Linked DNA regions of Nothobranchius furzeri. The main gene of each other region encodes a partner of the protein of the gene in region 2 in a complex. Links are inferred from orthologs where the notes say so. Each region holds a gene or a part of one and is shown on either strand. Other genes may lie near its edges. The genes, in order: protein FAM8A1, os9 and herpud1.

What was found.
Region 1: os9 (region 2) and protein FAM8A1 share a complex: the UniProt entries of both Homo sapiens proteins name them as parts of the HRD1 complex. The link is inferred for Nothobranchius furzeri from reciprocal best matches to the Homo sapiens genes OS9 and FAM8A1.
Region 3: os9 (region 2) and herpud1 share a complex: the UniProt entries of both Homo sapiens proteins name them as parts of the HRD1 complex. The link is inferred for Nothobranchius furzeri from reciprocal best matches to the Homo sapiens genes OS9 and HERPUD1.

What each region holds. Positions count from the first base shown.
Region 1 is NC_091745.1:80,669,217-80,673,403, forward strand, and holds protein FAM8A1, read right to left. Parts: upstream 2,811-4,187; 5' UTR 2,665-2,810; coding exon 2,238-2,664; intron 1,746-2,237; exon of another isoform or gene 1,724-1,745; coding exon 1,603-1,723; intron 1,506-1,602; coding exon 1,382-1,505; intron 1,293-1,381; coding exon 1,153-1,292; intron 1,070-1,152; coding exon 925-1,069; 3' UTR 333-924; downstream 1-332. UniProt on the Homo sapiens protein: Plays a role in the assembly of the HRD1 complex, a complex involved in the ubiquitin-proteasome-dependent process of ER-associated degradation (ERAD).
Region 2 is NC_091743.1:48,732,280-48,736,344, reverse strand, and holds the start of os9 (protein OS-9), read right to left. Parts: upstream 2,811-4,065; 5' UTR 2,760-2,810; coding exon 2,607-2,759; intron 2,270-2,606; coding exon 2,087-2,269; intron 1,621-2,086; coding exon 1,557-1,620; intron 760-1,556; coding exon 683-759; intron 1-682. UniProt on the Homo sapiens protein: Lectin component of the HRD1 complex, which functions in endoplasmic reticulum (ER) quality control and ER-associated degradation (ERAD).
Region 3 is NC_091744.1:85,515,339-85,519,394, reverse strand, and holds the start of herpud1 (homocysteine-responsive endoplasmic reticulum-resident ubiquitin-like domain member 1 protein), read right to left. Parts: upstream 2,813-4,056; 5' UTR 2,572-2,812; coding exon 2,419-2,571; intron 592-2,418; coding exon 514-591; intron 1-513. UniProt on the Homo sapiens protein: Component of the endoplasmic reticulum quality control (ERQC) system also called ER-associated degradation (ERAD) involved in ubiquitin-dependent degradation of misfolded endoplasmic reticulum proteins.

The DNA.
Region 1 (4,187 bases), on a different chromosome or scaffold from region 2:
GAGACACAAACAGCTACAGCATCCCAGAACCAGTCGGCGACTAGACTCCCAGTTAGAAGGATGAGTGGGACAGTTAAAGATGTCCTGCTGCTTTAGCTGTTTAAGGTGGAGAACATCTCTAGACTCATAGGAGAAAGGCTGCAATCTGCAGGACCTGAACCAAAACCGATAAGCTAAGAGCACGTTGGAAATCTTTTATCTAGAAACACAAATAAAACATGAATGTGAGAAGAAAACACGTGGAAACAGAATTCCTCACATAACCAACCATACGTGTGCTGCTTTAGCACACGTGGCCCGTGTAACTCACACAAAGTATAAATGCACAAGAGTTCATGCTTTCAGAGCCACAGGCCTGGTTTTATTCAGAGAACATTCAGAAATGCTAATGAAATACATAAACGGTTAACATTTAGCGTCCGATACACCTCGGCTTACAGAGAAAAACCTTTAAATGTGCCTCCATCTCAGCCTTAAACAGGGCGGATCAAATCAAACCTAAATCTATGCACACCTTTCCAAGAAAAGAACTTTTCGTGTTTGCATTTTACACGACCTCTCGTCCGCTTTGGAGACCGGCGGAAACGGCCAGATACTGGGGGTGAAATACGAAATCATCAGCGGCTTAAATACTGAGCAGCGGGCGGCACTCGCCCTTCGCCTCACACAGAAGTGAAGGTGCAACTTGTGCCGAAAACGGGCTAAATCCCCATCATCCTTCCTGTTGGTCCAGGAGGAGACACCGGAAACATTATCTGGACATGCATGCAGAAAAACAGTGCTGGTCACGATGAACGGAAGCAGTTCTTACGGATGCGGGCTCCCAGCAAACGCCTGAACTCTGCTGCGACGCGTGAACACAGCAGTGGCTCTGGGAGCCGCTTCACTAAAACATCAGAGTCATTTTACGCGTCCCGTTCTGCGTCATCTGGCTCTGGATCGCTTGACAACGATGGTACCGGCAACCATATCATACACAGTCCTGTTGTGCTGGAAGAAGAGGAGTGTGATGAAGGCTGGGAAGAAGAAGGCTATGGAGAAGTTCTTATTCAAAGCCCGGACAGTTGATCTGGAAGGACGGACAGAAACAAGAGTTCAGTCTTCCCAACCGCCTCCTTAGACAGCTCCCTGAAACATAAACGAGCCACTCACGCAGAGAGAGAGACGTTAGTGGCTGGCACCACGAGCACCCTGTTGGGCTGAACCAGAACCGACGAGTCACACGTAACGACTCTGAGTCCGAGGAGAAACTTCCCTGGCGTGGCACCTCCTGCTCCCCAGATGCACACAATCTGACAGGAGAAAAGCGTGAAAGTTCACCTCGAGTCTTCCTAAAACGTTTAAAACACAGACTTGAGTCTAAACCGGCAGTGAGCCTCACCTCATAAAAACACACCAAGATCCGGTACACTAGAGCAACAAGCATCATCTTCTGCAGCTCCTCCATCGACGTGTCCTCGTCGATCTCCTCCACGATCAAATGCATGGCAAACTTGGAAACATCCCTAAAAACAATGGAAAAGACAAAAAAATCCAAATGTTATGGTCATGGTGTTTCTGTTGTCATGACAACGCTGTTTACACCAAATCTAATTAACCCACTTGATTCCACTCAGATGCATAATACTGATGATTATAGAAGCTTTGATGAAAAACAAGATGAAGAAGTCCACCATCTCCGCCATGAGTCTCTGGAGAGGAGAGGGGATGCTGTACTCCCGCCCTGGTGGAAGCGAGACACAGCGGTAAGTTTTAGTCCTTCAGAGGCTGAGAAACCAAACGTTCAAGGTTTATTTTCCCAAAAGTGAGACACAAACGTCACATTAACCTTACTAGTGTCAACGCGGTCTGATTCAGTCATCATCTGAGTCATAATTGGAGTTTAACCTGAATAAAAACAAGAGAGTCGACGACAGAATGTTCCAGAAGGTGCTAAACGTGGCTTTAGTGAACACTTTAGATGTCTCATCAACGGTTTGTCTTTATTTCACTTCACAAGTTTCATTCATCGCTGTCCTGGTGTGACGTCATAACCCGGCCGCAAAAGCCACTCACTACTCGTGTTGCGTTCAGGTCACAAACTATAAAATAATACATTTGGCCTTCTGAAAAGCTTTCAGTCTTATCCCAGCCCGTAGTGAACCGTACCGTAACTCCTACTTTTTATTAAACGAAGAGCATGTTTGGGTGTGTGGTCACAAGTGAACGTTTGGACATGAACCAGCTGCAGCGTTTACCCGGTCTCTGCGCGTTTCCGTTAGCTTGAGGCGGCGGTTGGTGCTGCTGCGCGGCAGCGCCGACGGGGGCTTCACCCGCTCGGCTGACCGCAGGTGGATACGGCAACAACGGAAGCCCGAGTGGGCCGGCATGCCAGTCACCAGCCGTGGGGGTTCCGCTGGGTGGCTGTAAATAAGGGCAGGACACCGCCGACGCCGCTAGCCAGCTCTGCCAGTTCACATAGCCAGCGTAGTACTGCCACATCCATGTCTGCAGCTTCTCGCAGTACTCCGCTGTGGTTCCACCGTCAGCGGAAGGTTTCTTCTGGTTGTCTGAACCACGGATTACATCTTTACCAGAAGGTTTATTTTCTCCTTCATCCACTTCCACAGCTTTGTTGTTCATGTCCGCCATGTTTACAAGCACCGTAACGTCGTAAAACGTCATTGATGCCAAATCATTTAGAAAGAAGCTAAACAGAAGTGAAAACAAATAGTTATCGATTATACATATTTGATGAGAGGTTAACAGCTGATATACAAAAGCTTATAAGGTGAAAACTTTTAATAAAGCATTTATTTAGCAGGAGAACTTCAGCCCCTCCCCCGCTTTTCAGCACATAGTGGTACAGTCCAATCAGTAGCTGCACTACTAGACACGGCCACAGGAGGTCAGGGTTTCGCTGTTACAGTTTCAGTTTGACCGCATTATCTTTATTTATTTGTTTATTTTGGACAGTGCATGTTAATGAACATAAAGCAGCTTACATGAATGTAAACATGCCAGATTATAGCCAAAAATTCTAATTTCCATCTGTTGACATAAAAAGACATAATAATTCATAAAAATTCATCATTCATTCATAATAAAAACTCCTTCACCAAACTTACACATACACACCATTCTATTCACAAATGAAACATTAAAACTATAAAACTCATACATGATCACACACTTGATTTGTCCATAACCAGTTTTTAACCTTTGCCTTGAGTCGAGCATTCTCTAATGGGTTGAGGAAGACTGTTCCACAGATGGCCACCCTTGACAGAGGACGTTCTGCCCAAAAGATGTCTGTCTATGTGGTATAAACATTTCTCCTCGAATTGTAGCTCGTGTAGTCCTGTTTGAGCTTTCTTTATGCCTAATGAACTGCTTTAGTGGTGGTGGAGCAAGGGAGTGTAAGACTTTATATATTAAACAGACTCTTTTAAGTTTCATTAAGTTAGTGAAGTTCAGTAATTTATGTTTTTTAACACATGACAATGGTGGTGGGAAGTCGGTTTTTGTCAAGTAATTTTAAACTTTTATAAATGTTTGCACTAGTTTTAAGTGTTGTTGGACAAGCAAGTGACCAGGATGTCAAACAATAGTCCGTATGAGAGATGATCATCGAGTAAAAATAAGTTTTTGCAACATTCATATTTAGATTATTACGTATATGAGTAAAATTTAGATTATTAAATTTAAGTACCTGGGACACTTTATTTATATGACTCTTGAAGGATAATGTTGGGTCTAGAATTACCCCAAGATATTTAAATTCTGGTGCTAGATCAAGCTCTACTCCATCCAGGAATATATTTGACTGCTTCTAGTTTAAGGGGCGTTTTGAAAAAAACATGCAGACAGTTTTTGAGGTGTTCAACATTAGGCATGAGTCCTCCAGCCAGCTAAGCATTAATGCTAAAGCAGCTGTAAGATCTTTTGCCACCTGCTGGACACTGTTTGCTTGCGTAAATATAACTGCATCATCCGCATACATTTGAGCAAATATGTCTGGACAGACTTCAGGTAAGTTATTAATAAAAAGAGAGAACAATAAATGCCCAAGAACAGATCCTTGAGGAACTCCTGTATCACAGTCTAAATATGGAGATTTAACCCCATCCCACACCACAAACTGTTTCCTGTGTGAGAGATATGAGGCAAACCACTGAAGCGCCTGACTGGAGATATTAAACTGAGTC
Region 2 (4,065 bases):
GTCTTTAGCAATTGTAAAACTGCTATTTGGTTTTAATGTCACAAAACACACAGAAGCTAAGTAAAAAAAAAAAAAAAGAAGGAAAACTGAATGCATATCCTACAGTCATTTATCTCATAAAGAGGCAACTTTAAGAGCACATACAGATATTTCTGAGCATTTTCTGTCAACAGTGTTTGAAGAGGCCTACATTTAAAGGGAGATTGGGTGTTTTGGCTTGCTTTTAGCACCTGTAGTGTCTGTTTAGAAGAACCAAAAACAAAAGACATCTACTTAATGTGCATTCCTCTTTTTAACACCTTAATCAAACAGATGAAATGTCTCCCCAGCCTTCATTAATGTCTACAGGAGTGATCCAGCACTAAATTAAACAAATCAGCTGTGTTCGTGATCTAAAACATGCAGGAAACATGCTGAAAGCAGACTGCAACCCCAGGTTGGTCAGCTCCAGTGTTTTTTTTTTAAAGTCCAACAAACTGGACCGACACTCTAATGTTAAAAATGCGGTATTCTGGCCACAGAGTGTGATGGGGGTCTGAGTGAAATTTCATTAACCCTGTAAAGGGTCATTTTAGCACATATAGAAAATGATGTAAAAATATGAAAAAGTTGCCTAATATCCCTGGGTCTGTAGTTAGTTGTTTTATTTCTTAGTTTTTGTAGTTAATAAAGACAACTTTACCTTTGCCGTTTCATTGTTCCAGTCAAATTCAGACTCATAAAATCCCAGATAAAGAACACCCCCATTGATTTCTGTGTCTAAAAAAAAAGAACATCAGTCACAAACATGTCTTAAAAACATGCAGACGATAATCAGACCTGGAAAATGTATTTTTAGACTTATACAAGTTTGCAAAAATGTTATGTCAACATTTCTCCGTGTGTTAAAGACTTTTGAATCTTTAACTGTCAGAAGGTGCACAGCTACTATAAGTGTAAGAACACAAGTTTAACTTGTTTTTTTTTTCTAGAAATGCACAGATGAACGGTAAACAGAATCAGCTTTTAGTGGCTTGACTGATATACCAGGCACAATCCTGTCTCAGTGATCACACTAAAGACAAGCACAAACACAAACTAGCAGGATATTTTTACTGAGAGAGGAGGATTCACAGTTAGCTGTCTGTAAGATGTTTAAAAATAACATCAGAGAAAGTGTAAAAAACATTTTACTTAAGACACAGATTTTTTAAATAGACAGTAGCGTATAATCTACAGGTCAGGTTGACTGCAGTTCATATCCTAATGATGTGAATCCAGATGAGTTCCCAGATATTTTTGTCTTTTAATAAAACACAATGAAGTTAGTAAAAGTATTGGCTAAATTGCAGCATTACTGAAAACAACATGGTTATATGAAAGCAATTCTCTTGTTTCTTAGTTACATGCACATCCATCCATCCATTAGAAGACCTGGATAAAAACACAACACTCAAAAAGGTCTGATAAATATGTAAGTTTACAGCAGGCAAACTGCCCTTTGTATTTATAATTTGCCCACAATTTGTCATTAGAAAAATAAGTCAATTAAGAATGCTTAATCAGAATATTTTTACCTTCAAGGTGGTACTGTTGGATATGTTTACTATGGCAAAACTCATATGTCCACCAGTCTTTTGTCTGCAGGAAATAATGACAGCAAATTTCAAATGAGGTCATTTGCATAGTGCAGTCAACAGTTTGGCAACACCTGCATATTAAACAGGTGTGTGACAGGTGTCTCTCTCAAACATTTGACTGGTACTGATAGTTGGTCGATCTAGCTCATGCCACTTCTGATCTGAATCTTGGTCCACATAGTGAATTATGTAATCTCACATGAATGTAAACTAATAAAAAGTACACACGTCTTTAAAAAAATGTTTAAAAGCAGCTTGAGGGATCATAATCCAGAAAGTATTTGACGTTTTTTTGATTACACCTGCACAATGTTATAACTATGTAATTTGAAAAGAAACAATTGTTAATTGGTGACAGTATGTGTGATGAGGTCTGTACAGAGCTCTTAATCACTTAATTACATACGTATTTAATAAGCGAATTACATAAATAAGCATTGATTGACACCTGAAAAGTGAGAGAATACCTTTAGTAAACATGGAGATTTGTGCATAGGCTTGAGCAGGTCTGGGATGTCTGGGCCGGTGTAGGCCTGAGAGTCAGGCTCGGAGGCTGGGTCCTGGTGAAAGCGGACAGCCTGGGCTGGTAGTCGACATTCATAGAGCTGCTTGTATTTATTAGACACCATCATTACTTCCTCTGTCTTGGTCTGAAAAATAAACACTGTGATGAAACCCCAGTAATAATTAAAGGGAAGCTACACAGTATATTGGCAGTAGTTAATTGGTCAGGTGTTTTGTGTGTGTGTGTGTGTGTGTGTGTACATGTTGTCAAGACAGCTGTCACAGTTGTCGCTCATAAATTAACAATTTCTGTCTTCGCACGAATTGGCAAAATATCTTAACGTTTCTTGCTGAGCTTAAACAAACATGTTATTTGTATTTGTAATTAAATAACCTAAAGGAATTAATATATTTATCGCTAGCAAGCTGTAGCCTACATTATAGCTAACAAGCTACACGTTAGCATCTATAGCCCCCACTCACCTGCCCTAATATCACGGGGTCAGACAGAATTTGAATCCCGTATTTCATTTCGTTTAACTCTTCCAAATTCAAGAAGGCTGGAACACAGAGGGGGCATATCAACACAAAAAGGAACAGTCTCTTCAGCCACCGCAATAATAAGGAGGCAGCCATCGTTAACACTCTTCGTACACCAAGCGCTGTACAAGCATCAAAACACAGAACGCCTGACATGGTAGACGTTGATTGGTTAGTGTCAAAGTTGTTGCTCTACGATTGGTTGAATTTAATGTCAGTCACCAGTTTTTTTACTTCCAGTGTGTACTAGTTTCTTGTTACAGGGACGATTTAAACGGGCGACACAGGCACCGCTAACTAACGAACAACACCCGAACTGTCTGCTGACGCTTTACTTTACTATACATAAAATAAACGCACACGCATACTGATTTAGATCTGCATCATTGGTCTAATGAATGAGGCGTTTATTTTGTCTATAGTTTAAAAATTAATTATTATTACAGTATAAACTGAGTCTTATTTCCTGGAAGAAGCACACACAAAATGAATTAGCATAGACGCCCACTCACACAACATATCTTACTTTAAATTTTATTTTTAAAAGACGTTGATGTTTTTAAGAAATAACTCAATTGTTGTTACTTTTGTATCTTTAAGCACAAATCACATTTTGTGGGGTGCAGACTTCATTCTGGATCCCCGGTTGCTGTGCAGCCGCTGTTGCTGCAGGGGGAGTCTCTTCCACAGCGCGATGTGTTGCGATGTGCGGCCGCGTTTTTATTTGCCTCTGCTCCGCTTTTTTTCTTCTTCATCTAATTCCATTTGCAAGACTCTTGGGGAACGCATTCATTAAAAAGGGAGCGCTTGGTGAAGGAGGGAGGTGACACATCTTCACTGGGGTGAGCTGCATATTCCTGGGATTTTTCTATTTTAATAAGCTTCAGATTGGGAAAAAGGGCCTGTCCGTCTTTTACTTGGGATTTCCTGCTCTGTGTGAACATTGAGTAGCCTATTTGCTCATCTTCACATAAGAAAAAAAATGCTTTGGTCTTTATTACAGCAGGAATTCTCGATGAAAATGTCAAAACCAGGAGATGCGCGTTTATCTGGATGCATAGGTGCGTTCGGTTAATAATAGTCACGTTTTTATGGATGCGGCGTGTTTAAAGGTAGGCTAGTGGGCCCGTGTCGATTCTGGGGTTTCAGCTCTCTATTTGCTGAACAGAAGATTAGGAAATCCTCGTTTAACCAAGGGTGCTGTGCAGTGCGGAGGACGTCTGGGGCAGTGGCCCGGTATTTGAATGGACTCAAGCGATACAGCTATTCAGGTACGCGCTCGTTGGGAGGAAGGGAGGAACCGAGAAAGGACCTGGCAGGCTAGGCTCGTTTCTCCCTTGGATTTAAAAACAGCGACATGACAGTTTCTCCCGTCCGGTTTGGATTCGGTTTGAGAAGAAGA
Region 3 (4,056 bases), on a different chromosome or scaffold from region 2:
ACAGCCGATCCAAATGGAACAGTAGAGTCTGACCCGGAAAACCTCCATAACAATCAATCCATGAAATATTATCCTGTCCCACATTTATTAAACTAACGGGAATCTGAGGATTTGGGAATTAGAGGCTGTTTATCAGAAGAGGTTGATTTATAAACGTATTCTAGAGACATTAAATAATTGCAATGTTTGAAAACTGTTCATTTGTGATGGTGAACGGTTTGATGTAAATATGTTCAACCTGATATTCAGGTGGGTGTTAAGATGAATCTAGACAAGGGCTTTTCAGTTCTGGTCCCTGAGGGCTACTACCTGTTTGTTTTCTATGTTTAGCTTCACCAACACACCTGGTTTGATTTACATGCGTGATTAACAAACAGAACAGGTAATTCAGGTGTGCTGGAGATGGGGGATGGCTGCAACATGCAGCGCACCAGGACCAGAATTGAACCCCACTGATCTAGACGAACTTGGATAAAAAAAAAAATAATAATAAAATAAAATCTGAATACAGACCTGTCTGAAGAGCTCTTTGATGAGTAGATGATCTGGGAGCAGTTTGCCAGCGAAGATCAGCCTCTGATCGCACACGGCCTTTAAAAAACACAAACAAGTTAGTTTATGAGGTTCATGTTCTTTAACACAGCCCGAGCCAGCTCACAAATATAAACACACATGGCGAATTACCCAGAGGTTACACGGTCTTGATCAGTAATCATTAACTTTACATGGAAACTAAGCATTTATCTCACAGCACCTGATGGTTGGACAGGTCTTATCAGCTAACTGCACCCTTTCATCTCTCTGATCATCCCTTCATCTTCTGGGAGTCTGAAGGAACATCACACCTTGTGAATTTGCTACTTACAATACAAAAACAACAGATTAACAACAGAGGCTCAATAAACCAATAAGAATATTCTTCCCATGGGCTCACCACTCGTGGGAGGGGCCAAAGGGGTCGGGTGCAGTGTGTGTCGGGTGGTAGTCGAGGGCGGGGACCTTGGTGGTCTGATCCTCGGCTACAGAAGCTGGCTCTTGGCACATGGAGTGTCACCTCTCTGGTGGGGAAGGAGCCTGAGTTGGTGTGTGAGGCTGAGAGGTTCCGACTAGATATAGTCAGACTCTCCTCAACGCATGGCTCTGGCTCTAGAACCAGTTTCCTTGAGAGGGGTTGGACTTTCTACCAGTCTGGAGTTGCTCCCACTGAGAGGCGCCGAGCAGGGGTGGGCATACTAGTTGCCCCCCATCTTGGTGCCTGTACGTTGGGGTTTACCCCAGTGAATGAGAGGGTAGAGAGCTGAGTCAGAAGGAGAAGCTCTCGATTTACCGGTCGATCTACGTTCCTACCCTCACCTATGGTCATGAGCGGTCATGGTAGTGACCGAAAGGACAAGATCGCGGATACAAGCGGCCAAAATAAGTCTTCTATGAAGAGTGGCTGGGCTCTCTCATATGGGCCATTCCCATCTGTACCGGGTCGGCCCGGGCCGGGTAGCGTAGGTTGTTTACATATCTGGGTGGCCTGGTACTTTTCCGGGCCAACCAAGGCTCATTCTCAGCCCTCTTCTCGAGGGGGTCTGCTTCAGGCCGACCAGGGCCAACACACCCACTGCTGACAGCAAATTCACACCTTCCATTAGAGCAAGCCTCTGATTGGTGGGTAGAATCAGCCCACATGGGCTTAAGGCAAGGATGTGTGGAATCAACTGGGCCAGGCTGGGGCCGACTGGGGCTACCCGGCCCGGGCCGACCCGGTACAGATGGGAATGGCCCATTAGAGATAGGGAGAGAAGCTCGGCCATTCGGGAGGGGCTCGGAGTAGACTCGCTGCTCCTCCACGTCGAGAGGAGCCAGTTGAGGTGGCTCGGGTATCTGGTCAGGATATCTCCTGGAAGCCTCCCTGGTGAGGTTTTGTGGGCACGTCCAACCAGGAGGAGACCTAAAGGAAGACCCAGGACACGCTGGAGGGACTATGTCTCTCACCTGGCCAGGGAACACCTTGGGATTCCCCCGGAGGAGCTGGCCCAAGTGGCTGGGGAGAGGGAAGTCTGGGCCTCTCGACTTAGGCTACTGCCTCCGCGACCCGACTCCGGATTAGCGGATGAAAATGGATAAATGGATGGAAGATTATTTTTCATACCATACCTTGTGCTATAAGAGCTTAATTAGTAAAAAATAGAAACCTAATTTTGCTGCCGTGAATCTCTAAAAATACATGTTGAGCTAAATTTAACCTAAGTGAGATCCCTGAACAGATCATTTCTGAGGAAATTAAATAAAAACAAACATCTACTGGCCCATAAAGACAGAGGAATGGCTGACAGCTGTTAAATTCGCAGCTGGTCTGGGGTCCAAACATTCCACAACACACCCTTTAGCCAAGTTCCGCTAACAGTTGTCGGCTAACTTTAAACTCACCGGTTTGGTTTTGTAGACAGTCGACAAATACGTCTTCAGGTCCTTCACGGTCCACCTCAAGTGGACCCCTTCTATTATCTGGTCCTCCTGAGCCTCGTTGGGCGTTTTGATGAGCAGACTGGTCGTCTTTTGTTGCGAATCTCCCACGTCCATTTCCACTCTTCTTCTCACTCGATGTAGACTCGGGCTAAAGCTGATGCTATTCACAATAATGTTCTTCAGAAACGAATAAAACTGTTCTGACTGAAACAACGTGTGGAAAGACGGGAATAAAATCAGCGCTAAACCACTAACAAACAGTGAAAGTTCGGTCAGTGTTTATTCTAGAAATGTCTCTGCAGCTCGTCATACGGGACTTTAGAAGAGGAAGGTCGTGTTTCCAAACACACGGTGGCCGCTTCTGATTGGTTACAGGCTGCTCGCGCTCTGACGTGGAGTCTGGTGGAAAAATCAGCCCCTGTGAGCATGCGCAAAAGAAAGTAGTTTCATAGATCGTTAATTTTTGTCTGAGATGTACACTCGGATTTAAATTTAATGAAATATTCTGAATAATAATAATAAAAACAACCAAAAGACACAATAAAATCTAAAAGAAAGATGGATAAATTAGGTAAATTAAATACATTTTTTGTTATATACATTAAGTTATAATTTTTAACTGTTTTTCTACGAGACATACAATTACCAGTTTTGTTGCTTGGAAAGAGAGTAAGACATCTTTCTTTTTTTTACTCCCTGATCAGAAAAGATCATTTCAGTGAAATTACATAACAAATGTTGCATCAGCAAGTCAAGCCATTGACTGCTAAAGACAAATTAAAGTTTTTGAAATTGAGGTATTTTCATTCAGGTTTTTACATTTTATTATGACCAAATTAGGTAAAAGAAAGAAAACGATCATTTATATAGCACCTCAAGATAAAAATCACGAGGCGGTTAAGATACAACTGGGTCTGTGCAGTAATGTTTACCATTAACAACTTTATGCTTGAAGTAAAAATAATTTTGTAAACCTTGGATATTTGGGATTTTGGTACCTTTGTGACTAATTTGAGCTCAATAGCATGTTGTGCTGAAGGCCAACATGCTTAAAACACAGGAAAGTGGAGGATAAAAGATTTGTCAGCCTAATAATCTCCAGCATGAAAAAGACAAACATTCAAAATAGAAAAGTCGCAAATACAGAACCTGAAAGATGCATCACCATGACTTTCTGTTTGATATCAAATTAAAATTGTTGTAAATAAGGAAAGGCTGCTGACATTTGCACTGTTTTACATTTTGAAAATATGTGAATTAAAACAAAGAAATAAAATCTTTTATATTGTGCCTCACAAGATAAAAATGACAAAGCGCTTCACAAGAAAATATAATTTAAAACTTATTGAAAAAAAGATAAAAAAAATATCGTAACGGAATGAAATGACTGTTTTCCACCAAAAGTCATTTCCCCCTCTCCTCTGACACAGAACTAGTCTGCATGAGATACGGCCTCAAGGTCTCATGCATTTGCTATAAACTGCTTCTTTCCAGCTCAAGAGAAGAATGAAGAACGGACTCTCTCCTTTTAATAAATCAAAGAACTCTATTTTAATAAAGCTATTAGCTAATCAAACAAAGTGTTAGTCAATAATAAGA